Danio rerio: one gene and its partners. The protein of the gene in region 2 interacts with the protein of the main gene of each other region in a biochemical or structural test. Links are inferred from orthologs where the notes say so. Each region holds a gene or a part of one and is shown on either strand. Other genes may lie near its edges.

The links.
Region 1: of the proteins of clspn (region 2) and cdc7, one has a biochemical effect on the other in vitro, tested with the Homo sapiens proteins (3 studies listed by BioGRID, with this or other methods). The link is inferred for Danio rerio from reciprocal best matches to the Homo sapiens genes CLSPN and CDC7.
Region 3: of the proteins of clspn (region 2) and usp20, one has a biochemical effect on the other in vitro, tested with the Homo sapiens proteins (2 studies listed by BioGRID, with this or other methods). The link is inferred for Danio rerio from reciprocal best matches to the Homo sapiens genes CLSPN and USP20.

The regions. Positions count from the first base shown.
Region 1 is NC_133177.1:11,291,813-11,296,831, reverse strand, and holds part of cdc7 (cell division cycle 7-related protein kinase), read left to right. Parts: coding exon 1-27; intron 28-159; coding exon 160-255; intron 256-339; coding exon 340-545; intron 546-878; coding exon 879-961; intron 962-5,019. UniProt on the Homo sapiens protein: Kinase involved in initiation of DNA replication. Phosphorylates critical substrates that regulate the G1/S phase transition and initiation of DNA replication, such as MCM proteins and CLASPIN.
Region 2 is NC_133194.1:50,542,167-50,547,185, forward strand, and holds part of clspn (claspin), read right to left. Parts: intron 1,072-5,019; coding exon 944-1,071; intron 863-943; coding exon 745-862; intron 1-744.
Region 3 is NC_133180.1:33,926,253-33,931,271, reverse strand, and holds part of usp20 (ubiquitin carboxyl-terminal hydrolase 20), read right to left. Parts: coding exon 4,977-5,019; intron 2,423-4,976; coding exon 1,990-2,422; intron 1-1,989.

The sequences.
Region 1 (5,019 bases), on a different chromosome or scaffold from region 2:
CCACCCTCACGCGTTAAACACAGCAAGGTGTCTGCACTTTATTTAATGAATAAATCATATTTTAAGTGATAATCAGTCAAACTGGGGAGCACTGCACTTCCAGGCCTATATTGATTCATTTCGTATTCATGTCAAAAATATGTGTCCTTCCTCTCAAAGGAACTGATGGGACTTGATAAAGCACCACGGTCTGTATTTGGGGAGAAAAGCATAAACAGCACAAACTCTCATAAACCAGGCTCTGACAAAGTTGAGGTTAGCTCTGTCTCTTCTCACACTGGTTGCATGCGATGCCGTCTGAATAACTATCAGCTCTTCACCTGTCACATTGTGTTTTAGGGATTGCTTTCAAAGCCCAAAAAGGAGGAAGTAATTCCACGCAAGATTGTTTCTGCCAAACATCGCTCCGTCCCTGTCAGAGCACCATTAAATCAGAAACAGAAACTTCCGGCTGAGAGTCAGAAACCTAAACCTGCTGCCGTCAACCCCCTACTCACCTGCAACTGCTACATGACTGACCGCGTCTGCAACATCTGCCTGTCCAGGTACACACTCGTCATCTATACATCAATCCAAACCTTAAAAAGCCTACTGTGGCATGTCTACGGTGAAGAAAAAAGAAAGATCAACACTACACAGTCTACTACATGCATCTATACTCTGTTTTAGCCCAATTCTAAAAACACCCACATTTGTCATGAACTGCTATCAGATTTATTGTTAATAGTGAACTAGTGATAGTGACTAGTGATTAGTTACATTTTGAGTGTTTAATAAGCTACATCAGCCTTTTCAGGAATTTTTTTTTTTTTGCATTTCTCAATAAAAACATTCTATTTGATGGTTTTAATTTAATAGTGTGGTTATTTTTTTCACAGGAAACAGCAGGTGGCTCCGAGGGCTGGTACCCCTGGGTTTAGGGCTCCTGAGGTTCTAACCAAGTGTCCCAACCAGGGAACAGGTAAAGCTAACAAAAGCAATGCTATTATTATTATTATTATTTTGGATGTGATTCAGTATTCCAGCTCACTGTATAGAAAATACTATCTCTTTAACAGTTGGTACAGTTCTGTCTTTTTTTAAAACTTGTTCATGGTTTCCGCCACACCAAAATTGATCCCGCCATGGCTACATTACAACTTTTTATTCATATTATTCAGTTCTGTTTTTTTTAATAGCGGGTGATAATCGTACCAAAACGTATTAAAAGGTAAGTGAATTATAACGGGGCAAACTTTTCTGTAACCGTAGTAGTACTGTGCGTTATTTGTTTAACCCTTTAAGGTTATGTGCTGACTGACAGATGCGTGAGGCCAGCAATTACAACGTATACTAGTTTAACTTTACTTCAGGGCGCATTAATACCGCTCTGTAGGTCTATTGGAGACATTCAATAATATTCCTAGCAAATCTAATAAATGTTGGAGACATACTCGTTACATAAACGCACTAAATCGCACCCAGCAGCATTTATTTGAGCGCGCACAAGAAGATCTGCGCTTGAGCAGCGTATATTTAAGGATGTGCAAGAAGTTTTGTGCACTAGCAGAGGAAATCGGCGCGCAAGCAAAGAGTTTCACATGCTCGTAGGCTATTACATAAATCCGATCTCAACTTGTAATACTGCGCTCACGACATTTGTCATTGAAATAACGCAACAGGTAGTTAGCAGATCTGTGTAAAAAAAAAAAAAAAAAAAAGGCCTGCCACCACAGCTGTAAAAAAATCCTAGTGAAAACACTGTTGTGTACTTTATACACGTCCATTTGAAATTTATAATGGTCATTCTACAATTGCAGGTATAATTGACGTTTTCTTACAGTAGTAACCTATAGGTTATATAAACTTGGGAAATAAGTAAAATAAGAAAAAAAGTTTTATACATGTGTGTGTGTGTGTGTGTGTGTGTGTATATGTGAGAAATATCACACTAGTACCAGTGTGCTATGGCTGTATTCACCTTATTCTCCGCCGACGAGTGGGTGCTGCCATTTGAATCTTTTTGGCTCTAGACTTCCGGTCTCATTCACTTCCATTTATTTTTTTAACGTTAAAAACTGCTCGTTATGCTGCTAGATGTTGCAATTAGATTTTTTTTATTATATTATTCTATTTGGTCTGTATAGTCATGCAAATATTTGTTTGTAGAGCAAGTAGTTTGACCATTTTCTGCTGTTTATTATTCCTAGTCATTTCTCCCATAGGCGACTGAATCGGAAGTTCTAAGACAATCGCGATAACAGGCGCACTTCTGCATTTTAGAATAAGGTCAATATCAGCACTGGTGGGAGGCGTGCTTTGTGCCCCACCAGTGCTGATATACAGCCATAGCACACTGCTACTAGTGTGATAATGCGTTTATACAACAGTTTGATGGCACAATCTTGTACATAAAAAAGAAAATCAAACACAGAGAGTCTAAAACCCTATTGTATTAGGAACTACTATCTTCCACCATTTATTTACATCTGCAGCTGACGTCAGAACAGCAGAAGCTGTTCTGAATCCAGCTTCTTATTCGCAGCTTGTTATTGTCTCTCTCTCTCTCTCTCTCTCTCTCTCTCTCTCTCTCTCTCTCTCTCTCTCTCTCTCTCTCTCTCTCTCTCTCTCTCTATATATATATATATATATATATATATATACATTTATAACAATTAATAAAATTTAATATTAAGTAATTAATAATATTTATGCTTGTATACATACAAGTTTAATAAAATATAGAAATAAAACTTATTTGCACTCCAAAATATATGTACAAAAAAGGTGTGGTTCTTCCCAAGGGGTTCAAAAAGAGCATTTATTAATATGGACTTTTTAGATATAAACCAATACTATTTTAATGTACCGACCCAGCTTTGTGTATATTAATAGACATGCACATCATTCAACTGTTTATTTTATAAAAAAATTTTTAGTTAATTTTTTTTTATTTTAAGAAATAATAATGTATGCAGTCATGCACGTTTTGACAGATAATATGATGGTGATTTGATGCTTCGTAAAAGTTGCAGACACCCGAAATCAAAATGCTTGATGCAAAATTAATTTAAATTCTTTACACCAATTGAGAAACTTAAATTCTATTATACTATAATAAAGAAAATTAGCTCTGAGTTAAGAGTATTTAGCAATTTATTTAGTTTTACATTCAAAGTTCAAAACCTACAACCAACAACAAAAGCGTATAGCTATTGCCTATCATATTTATCAAACCATTTATTACGAAGTTTATGCAATTTTTCTCACATGGATAATTGAATATTACTCAGATGATGTCATTATGGTGCTGTGCCATAAGCCAATCGTTGGTCATGATTTTGAGGATCGATAGATCAGTCCATCACAACAAGTGTACCGATCTCCGATCAGTTAATCCAGACATTTTAATGTTTCGTGAAGTTGTTTGAAGAACCAAATCAGCCAGAGATCAGGTATCATGATTAAAAGTGACAAATCATCCAAGATCATTTAAGCGAGGTACGAAGACGGGCCCATGGTCTGTCCCTACGTTCTGGTCAACTTTGTTACATCGTTTATATAAAGCTATGATGACATTCTTTAATTAAAGCACAGATAGACAAAGCATGTGACTTGCTCCAAGTTGGGTCACTGTCTCTGATGATAAACTCTGGAATGCAGGGGTCACCAATCTCGGTCCTGGAGGGCTGGTATCCCTGCAGGGTTTAGCTCCAACTTGCCTCAACAAACCTGCCTGGATGTTTCAAGTATACCTAGCAAGACCTTGATTAGCTTGTTCAGGTGTGTTTGATTTGGGTTGTAGCTGAAATCTGCAGGACACCGGCCCTCCAGTAACAAGTTTGGTGACCACTGCACTAAGGCATGTCATTTTCTCTCAACAATTTAATAAAAAGGTTTAGGACACCAATAGTAGATTAACCCTTGTGTGCTGTTGGGGATGTTTTCATCTGCTCTGGGATGATTTTGTGTCTTAATTTGGCCGCAACTTTCTCTGTATCTCAGCAAATGAAATGATTTTTGGTTAGAAATCTTATTTTGACATATTTTGAAAAAATGCTTTGGGAAATTTCAAAAATTCAACAATACACTTTGAGCAAAATTTCTACAGATTCATTATGATGGTGGCTGTTTTTGCCCCATTGACTTTCATTTTAATGACATTTTTAATTGCACCATATAATCATGCCTTCTTAATCATTGCTGTTTTTTTTTCCCTGTTGGGAAGAGATAAAATGTGTCATTTTTATTGTTGATCATCAGTTGCAGTGCAAAAAAAGCGTAATTTCTGCCTTCTATATGAAATTGTGTGTGTGTGTGTGTGTGTGTGTGTGTGTGTGTGTGTGAGAGAGAGAGAGAGAGACATTGCTTGGGAAAATCAAAACAAGCAGCTCAGGGAAAACCAGCAACATTCAGGAATGCATGATTATACTGTCATGGCTTTGCAATAAAAAATATCATTATAATAGAATTCAAGAAGGCAAAAACAGCTACAAACATAACAAAATGTTAGTAAATTTGAACAGTACACAAGGGTTAATTATTCATCAACCCTTTATTAAATTTTCTGTAAATTATATATACGTGTCTGGGCCAGTAAACATTTGGGTTTTTTCTCTGTTTACTGGCCCAGACATACATATATATATATATATATATATATATATATATATATATATATATATATATATATATATATATATATATATATATATATATATATATATATATATATATATATATATATATATATATATATATATATATAATTTACAGGAAAAAAAAGCCCAAATGCAGGTGAAGACAATGATTTATTGTAGAAGGCAAAAAATCAGACAGGTCAGTCCATAAGCAAGAATGGCAAAATAAAAAAAAGAAGAAAAATCCTCTAAAGGCAATGTCTCAGTCACAGGGTGAACAAAGACACAAAAAAACTCAAAATGGAAACAAAATGCTCTTCAGCAAGCAGTCCTCTCAGACTATCCTCTATCCTCTCAGACTAATAGAAAGATCAAAAACTATTTAGTTAAAAAAAAATGG
Region 2 (5,019 bases):
TCAGATGATTCAGCAGAGAAATCCACCTTCTGACACTTTCACACATCATCAACTAGAAGTCAAGATATTATGTGTTCCTCTTACAACTGAGATCAAGACAAGACTTTTATCAGGTAGTGTAAATAAAAATATTACATAACTCTAAAAACAACGTCATGTTTCATTAAGATACAACAAATAAATGATATGATTTTTTATGATTTCTAATTATGATTTTTCTGTAACATTGTTGATAATCTTTCTGGAGATACATGATAAAAATAAAGAAAACAATTACAGAAATGATGATCATGACAATATTTTATAGTTTTATTTTTGATTTTTATATTATGCTTTTATTCCTTCATCTGTAAGTGGTTAAACTGTTGGGGAAGGGGTTGTTCAGTTAAATAAATAAATACAATAAAGCTTCAATATAAAGTCTAATAATATTGACCTCAGCAAGTTTTACTTATACTTACTTTACATAAATATAATAGCATGTATTGTATAAAATAAAGTTAAACAGCACCTAAAAATACAAATATACACATGAAGTTGAATTAGTTTGCATTTATTTATTTCAACAAAAGATCTTTACTAATATAACTTCATAAATAATTTTATTATTAGTATTTTTGACACCTACAGTTGCTTCATACCTACTAAAGCATCTAAAATAACTTTTAATAATTACTCTTGCTTGAACAAAAACTGATTCTGAAATGTTTTATTTACTCTTTCAGCAGAAATGTATGCCTGTACCTTTCTTCTGAAGGGTCTTAGCTGTTAGCTTCATGGCTAGCTTCATGAACTGACTGTCCTCTTCTCCAATCTTTTCTTCATCCTCTGCTTCTTCTCCCTTTTTGCCGCGAGCTTCAGTCTACAGAATAGCATCATGTCAGACAAGATACACACAATCACAAACACAAAAGACAGCATTAAAACGCACACAAACACACACCTGTTCTCTAATCCACTGCTCCCTCTCCAGACGCTCTTTCCGTCTCTGTAACTCGATCTGATCTACTTCTTCATCATCCTCCTCCTCGTCTCCATCAGGACCCAATCCACCGAAGTCAAAGTTTTCATCTGCTCAAAACACAAGCAGACTGTGACCAAAATAACCAAAAGAGATTTATTTGTTGAAGGTATTTAAATATATATTATATATTTATTCTTAATATATTTATATATAAAATCTAAATTATATTACATAATTACATTATATAATTATATATATATATATATATATATACACACACACACACACACACACACACACACACATATATATATATATATACACACACACACACACACACACACACACACACACACACACACACACACACACACACATATATATATATATATATATATATATATATATATATATATATATATATATATATACAGGGCTCGAAATTGCGACCATTTTGGTCGCATATGCGCCCGAAAATTAATCTATGCGACCTCATAATATATCTGGGAGCATTAGTGCGACTGCAGATAATGGTTGTAGTGCGACCTGTTTTGGTTCTTTCTAAAAACGTGCTGAATCGCTCTTCCCTGCCGCTATATTGGTTCATATTAGCTGTCATTCACTCAAGGTATTCCGCTGTCAGATGACAGGGAAGGAGCTTTTATGACCACAGGAAATGCAAACGGCTGAAGAGTAAAAACTTAAAGCACACAAGTTTGAAAACCCCACCTAAAGTTGAGGCGCAGATGAAAGCGATCATGACACGTCACGTGGTGAATAATGATCCGCCAGCTGAGATCAATCGAGTACGCGCTTCTTGGAGAAGGCGCCCGAATCTCCATGCGTCGCATTCACTGCGTGTTCAGCGCAAATGTCCGCTAAAAGTCAAATCTAATACTGCACATATCATCGCCAAAGAAGCTCGCCTTTACTAAGTTTACACTGAAACTGCGGCTCATAACAAAGACCGGATTTGCGCCGATGGTTAGCGCAATAATCTTGCGCTGCCTACTTATTAATTGGGTCGGCTGACTCGCCAGCTTTCCACAAACACAGAAAAATGAAGATCAGCTCAGACTGAACCTTTAAATTGACACAAACTGAAACCAAAACTTTTAAAGAGTGATAGAAGTGAGACTTTACTTACTTTCTTTTGTCTATTCTTTTTTGAGTTGTATATTATTTTTTTATTTATTTACTGATGACTGCTTTACAGCTTTCATCATTGAATTGAATGATTTATTATAATCTTTTGTTTGTTTTGTATCAGAAATATTATTTATTAAATTGACATGCATATAAAAACAGCAGTACAAAATAAATATTTCTTACTGCAATGCTTCATTTTTGTTTGATGCAAACTATACAATTATTTTTCATAAAGTAACAGACTTTTAATAGCAGATAACCTACATTCATGCACATTCAAGGCAGCATCATAATGAGAAATGGAATTCATTGTTACTATTATTGTCATTTTCATCATCATTAATATTCTATGGCCTAATTATTAGACATTCATTTTGGAATTATTGCACACAAATATCAATGTCTTCGCAGCTTTAGTTAGATAGTTGTTTCTGGTTTTTGTTAGTCCTATTAATATTGTTTTAAAATACAATAAATCCCTTAAAAAACAATTTGCAGCTGTGCTCATTCATTTTTGGTGGATGCTCCTAAATTTTTTTCTGGTGCTCCTAAAAAATTTTTGGTGCTCCTAAATATTTGAAGTTGGGAGCACCGGTGCTACCAAGTAAAAAAGTTAATTTCGAGCCCTGTATATATATATATATATATATATATATATATATATATATATATATATATATATATATATATATATATATATATAATTTTCTTTTTATAAATTTGATTGGCTGATAGCAGTGCGATATTTTGCCAGTAACATCACTCACAGACCTCTTCATCCTTCACCTTGTTTAGATTGCAACTATGCAGTTTATTTGTAAGAATAGTGCCTATTTTAAGATATTTACAATTTCTGAGAGAGCTCGTCGGCAGCCATTAGCCTGCCATAGAGTAGACCAAACACGGTTGACATTTTCTATCCACAAGATGGCGACAGAACCACATAATAAGCCCTTACACTTATAAGATTATAACAGTCTGATTTTTAACTACAGCAGATCAAAATCAATATTAAACTGGTAAGCACACCTGCCAGTGTCCCGTATTTCAGACCAGTCTCCCACAAACATACCCGATTTTTGTCAGAGACATGACCCCCGAACACCCCCTACCCCCGGATTTTCAGTCATGTTAGCAGGTATGTTGGTCGATCTCTCTCTTTTATATGCTGTAGCGCTGTATTTATACTGATTTGCTCGCATATCAGGAATGTGTGTTGTGTTGGCAGATTGAAATAAGCAAAGCCTTTTCCTCACAGCAGCAGTCTGGGAGTGATTGCGTTGCTTTTTTCAGGGTTAACTACTGCAATATTCCAATTGCAACAGAGAAATACTGTAGACCAGGGGTGTCCAAACTATGGCCCGTGGGCCATCTGCGGCCCGCAATCAGTTTTGTGGCGGCCCGCGAGGCTTTTTATAAATATTAATAGAATCTGGCTCGATATACAAAAATGAACATAATTCAATAAATAACCACCGGGTGTCGCTATGACACGCCTTCAATTAGGCAGCAGTTCCCGTAATGAAGCAAAAGAAACCGAACAAACTGAAGGAAACATAATTGATAGTCACGTTCTGGCGAGCCATAATACAACCAAGAAAAAGGAAAATCAACAGTGAAAGCAGGACATTTTAGTCACGTTGGGGCAAAGAATATTTCTTCACAGAGGTCAGCGGGAAATGTATCTGTTTAATTTGCCAGGAATCAGTTGCAGTAATGAAGGAATATAATATTAAAAGACATTATGAAACAAAGCATCAGGCCTTCAGCTTTTACACTGGTGCCGAACAAGATCAAAAAGTAAAACAGTTAGCAGCTGCCCCTTCAGCTCAACAGCAGTTTTTTAATGCTAATAAAGTGCAAGAAAATTCTATGCTGGGTAGTTATGCACAGGAAAGCCTTCACTGAAGGAGTTTATATAGGAGTGTCTGATGAGTGTTGCAACTGTAATTTGCCTAGAGAAGATTCAAGATTTTAAAAACGTAAGTCTTTCTAGAAACACAGTTGAAATAATTAACACACACACACACACATATATATATATATATGCGTGTCTGTGTGATGTATGTAAAATTTGGCCCGGGACGTTTTTTTTTTTGTTTTTTTTTGCATCTGCCCCTCGGCCAAAAAAGTTTGGACACCCCTGCTGTAGACTGTAACACTGTAAGAAGATATCTCTATAGACTGATGGCACTCCATGTCATGTTCAGCCTTATAATCTTAAAGTGTGAGCAAAATCAGCAGTTTTGTCATCACTTTAGACATTACGCTAGAGAATCATTCAAATACTAGCTCTAAAGTGACGTTGGTGAATTAGTAACGGCTTCTGCTGTTCTGACCTCAGCTGCAGATGTGAATGAATGGCGGAAGAAAGTAGTTCCTAATAAAAAGGGGTTTTAGACTCTCCGTTTGATTTTCTTATTTATATAGACGACTGTGCCATCGAGCTGTTGTATAAACACAATATTACACTCGTAGCAGTTTTTCTTTCCCACAGTTGTCTTTGGTAACCCTTTGGTTGAACCCTTGTGTACATGCATGCTCATATTTGTTATTGTTGGTTTTTGCCTCATTGACTTCCATTAGATTAGAAAACCATGACAGCATATAATCATGCATTCTTGATTGTTGCTGGATTTCCCTGTTGGGAACGTTGGCCAGGAGGGAAATTTTCTAATACTCTGGGTAGTGCGTACCCGTGTGGACACTACAACCGTAGTTTTCACCTTACGACGTCTTTCTCTTTTCTGAGTGGCCAATACGGTTGAGTTAAGGCCAAACACAAAAAAACGTGACTGAAGTGAATTCTGCACATTCGTTGGACAGTAATCCACCTCTGTTCTCGCGTTTGTATTGACTTCTATGCAATTTAAACCTACTTAACTCCCTGTTTGGTGTGAACTCTA
Region 3 (5,019 bases), on a different chromosome or scaffold from region 2:
CATGGAGAGACATTTTTAAAGACATTTAAAGTCTTTCAAATTTCACATAATAACAAAAAATGTTATGATGAGGGAGGCTTGTCAGTTGTCACATGTTAGTGGGTTCATCGTGATTCAACTGATACAATTGAGTCAAACTAGTGTGACAAATTAAGCATCTAGTAAATAGAGTGTTGTCATGCCTGGTTTCAAAAATAATATTTGAGAAGTATCTTTCATTTATGCTTGGCATGATTCCTTTGCCACTTTACATTTTCAATCATTTACAAATGAATTATAGATAGGGGTGGCCTATATTAAATGAGATTGCTAATGTGATTGAGCAAAGCTATGACTGTCATGCACATCTGTCATAAATCTCCTCTGAAGGCCAGAGGGCGCTCTTGTGCAGAAACTCCAAACACCTATTAAGAAAGCCAGGAAATAACCTTAGCGGTTGCTGAATGAACAAGGCCCAGTTTTAAAAAAAAAAATTATCTTGATCAAAATGGTCCAGATTTGAAAATTCCATGTTTTGCTATCCAGGATTAACTGATCTATCTAACTTTTATGACAGTTTTTTAAGGGAACATTGGGTTGGACCACTGTGATCTACATTTCAAACAGTGTAGCCTACTGGCTTTGCAGAGAACAAGCGGTAGGCAAAATATCAGTGGCCACAAAAAGTCATTGTTTTAAAGGAGTGTTTTTTTTTAGCTTGTTCTAATACATTCAATATTGTTTTGTCGTTGTCATATCTCATTAGATGTGACATGCTTCATAAAGGTTTCAAATATGAAAGAATTTATATATCATTAGTAACCATTAAGTATGTGACAACTTAAAAAAAAAAAAAAAAAAAAAAAAACATTTAGGTTCAAAAACTAAATCCACACTTCAGATAGGATGAGGATTATCACGTTTTTTTTTTTTTTTTATCAAATAGATCCCAATCTAAGTTTAAAGTTTTGAATAACCCAAAGGGCAGGTTTTATCCAAATCAAATGTAAGATTTCAATACATGATCTGATCTTAATTAAAAATCCCACTGTTACTTTAAAAAACCCATTTCCAAATCTTGATCCAATCTGTGATCCAAAATCCCACTGGACTGCTTTTGAAAAAGTGGGCACAGATTATTTAACTGATGCGATTGATTCAGTGTGACTAATAAACGCACAACTATAGAATCATCTCACAGCAAGATTCATTTCAAACACTGAAGTTATTGCGAGTTTGGAGTTAAACCATGTTATTATTTGTTGCATGTTATTATATGTTACTTTTATTATTTACTAAACAGAGCTATAGTTCACTGAGAAGCAACTCAACAGCTGTTAATATTACAGAACAATGATTTTAATGTCATTATCGACCAAGCAAATCAAATAAATTTTTTTACAAATTTTTGTGTAGCTTCTCAGTGTACTACAGCTGTGTGTAGTAGATGCCGCTCCATCTGATGAATAGAAGTTTTACTAGAACCGTCTTCACTGAAAAAATGCACATAAAAATCCTCTTTGATTAATTTGCCAGCCCTAGGGTTAGAAGAAGAAACATATAATGCATAATAGAATAATTACTGATCACGTGACACTGAAAATTGGCAAAATGGCTGCTGAAAACTCAGCTTCTTTCCTTGCAGCAGACGCCCTTCCAGCTGCAACCCATCACTGGGAAACATCCATACACGTTCATTCACAGACATACACTACGGACAATTTAGCTTACCCAATTCACCTATAGTGCATGTCTTTGGACTTTTGGGGTGGAAACCGGAGCACCCGGAGGAAACCCATGCAAACACGGGGAGAACATGCAAACTCCACACAGAAATGCCAACTGTCCCAGCCGAGGCTCGAAACAGCAACCTTCTTGCTGTGAGGTGATTGTGCTACACACTGTGCTGCTTGCAGTATTAATATTTCACATTATATTTTTAATAAATGGTAAGCATAACTCTTTCAACAATAAAAACATGAAAAAATCTCAATTTTCAGGCCATCACACCTGTGTTTCCTGGTGCCGGCACAGCTGTGGCTGGTGTCGCTGTTTCAGTTTCTCTCTCAGCCTGTCCGTCTTGTGCAGCTGTGTCCACATCTGCATCCTCATCCATTTCACGTGTCCTCTCTTCTCCTCTTCTCTCCTTCAGCCTCTCTTTCTCCGAGATGCCTCCGGTTCCTCTCACTGCCACACATTCATCTTGAATGAGGAGCTCTGCTTCTCCTCCTGCACGCTCTCCATCTCCCCTTTCGCTTCCTGATCCAGAGTCACACGACAGGAATTCGTCTTCAGAGGGGCTTCGGTCTCCGTCCACAAGATTACAGCTGTCCAGACTGAGGTCAGGCTCGACTTCAGAGATGCCACCGCTGCAGTCAAACAAAGGCTCCTTCAGCTCCTCGTGAAGCTGGTCCATCAGACATCGCAAAAACTCCTGAGTGTCCTAGAAACAGGCAAGAAACAAAATGTCAATGAGGTTTATATTATTTCTTTGAAAATAATAGTCTTTAAAAAATGCACAGTAGACATCATATGAGTGTTATTACTGTTTAACAAAACTATTCAAAATCAATGTTGTCTGGCACCGGTAGCCTTGTGGGTGGTATGCTGACATGTAGCACCACTGCATTCTGGGCAATTAAAGTTCGAATTAAAGCTTGCAGACTTTTCCTGATAACCCTCACTCCCAAATACTCTAGCTTGTCTCACAAATCTCCTTTAACAATACAGGTAAAAATGTTTTTCAAATATATAAATAAAAGAAATAAATCTTTGAATAAAATACACTCACTGGCCACTTTATTGGGGTACACCTGTCCAACTGCTCATTAGCACAAATGTCTAATCAGTCGATCACATGACAGCAACTCACTGCATTTAGACATTTAGACGTGGTCAATACAATTTGCTGCAGTTCAAAATGAGCATCAGAATGGGGAAGAAAGGTGTTTTAAGGTATTTTGACATGGTTGATGATGCCAGAATTTGGCGTCAACAACATGAAAGCATTGATCAATCCTGCCTTGTATCAACGGTTCAGGCTGGTGGTAGTAGTGTAATGGTGCAGGGGATATTTTCTTGGCACACTTTGGGTCCATTAGTACCAATTGAAAATTGTGTCAACGCCACAGACAGCCTACCAGTGTATTGTTGCTGACCATGTCCATCCCTTTATGACCACACCTTTATGACCACATCCATCTTCTGAAGTCTACTTCCAGCAGGATAACATGCCATGTCATAAAGTGCGAATCATCGCAGAGTGGTTTCTTAAACCTGACAATGAGTTTACTGTACTCAAATGGCCTCCACAGTCACCAGAACTTCAATAGAGCACCTTTGGGATGTGGTGGAACAGGAGATTCACATCATGGATGTGCAGCTGAAAAATGCAGCAACTGCAACTGCATGATGCTATCATGTCAATATGGAGCAAAATCTGTGAGGAATATTTCCAGTTCCAAGTTGAATCTATGCCACGATAAAGATAAGATAAAGACAGTTGTGACGGCAAAAGGTGGTCCAATCTGGTACTATTAAAGTGTACCTAATTAAGTGGCTGGTGAGTGCATAACTTACTGATAAATAAAAAATCAAATAGCACTAAAATACTGAAATAAAAGAGATCTAAATCTAAAATTTTTTAAGCCTAAATAAAAGACCTGACAGAATTGCAAATAATATAACATACTATAATATTACCATAATATAACAGAAAAAAAACATTAAAATAAAAATGAAATAAATAAACACTACACACTATAGTGGAATTTAAATAAAACACACTACACACTATAGTGGAATTTAAATAAAACACACTAGGGCTACTACAATGTATTGTTTCAGATTGTTTTCAGATTGCACATCCACTATTGGCAGAATGTGCAGTGTCATGTAGGGATTATCAATGACTTGAAAACATGAAGTGGTCTACATATATCAATGGTCTTATATATATATATCATCATTATATTATATATATATCATATATATGATATATATATATATATATATATCAAAAATATATATCAAAAATGCTAAATATTGCTATGTATTTTTTCCAATATTGTGAAGCCCTAGAATACACCACAGTGCTTCCCACGGGTTTGAAATATATTTGCGGTGCTAGCTGGATTGAAACACACCTTTTACCCACATCAGATAAATAGTTAACTATATGCAACAAACATAACAATTTAATTGTTAACAATAATTAAATTTATTAAGAAACAGTTTCCTTACAATGGGTTAAGGTACAAAAAAAAAAAAAAAAAAAAGAAATTCACTATTTCTTTTAATTTTAGGCTATTCAGGAGCCATGTACACCCACTGACAGATAAAATCTGCTTTACTCTATCTCACAATTAAGTTCAGTTTGCTTTATTGGCATCAAATTAATAAAATATAAAACAAATTAGAAATAAATGACAGAAAAAAGGAATAAAAGTAGACAATATCTCAAAAAAATATAATAATTACAAGAATAAAACATCTAGATAATTTAAATAGGGCAAAATAATTGATTACCCATACTAATAATGTACATATATTTTTCAGCTAATTTAGAACTCATAATTTCTTTCAATTCCTTTCCTCTCTGAGTATATAGAATTAAAAAATAATTATTTAATGTTTCTCTCACTCTCTGTGTGCATAATTGATGACAGCTTTAGAAAGCGAAAGCAAAAGTCAAATCCCGGTAATTTCAGATTTAGAAACCCCAGTCTGACAAAAAAAGCGCATCTCTGTGGGTGTTTATAGAATGTGAAACTGTCTGTGAAAGGGTCGACAGGTCTTAACCACACAGATCGAGCATGAAACGGGTAAACGAGAGAAGATTTTCCACTACTTAATCGATTGTAGATGTTTCGTTCTATTGGGCGGATACAAAAAAAAATTAACATACTTGAGCGGTAAGCTCAATAAAAGTTTACCTGTGGGAAGCACTGCATGAAATAGTAGTATACAGACTTTACTAAAATAACACTGCTTTATACCTGTTGAGCATAGCCACGAAACATGGGGTTCACCAGTTTGATT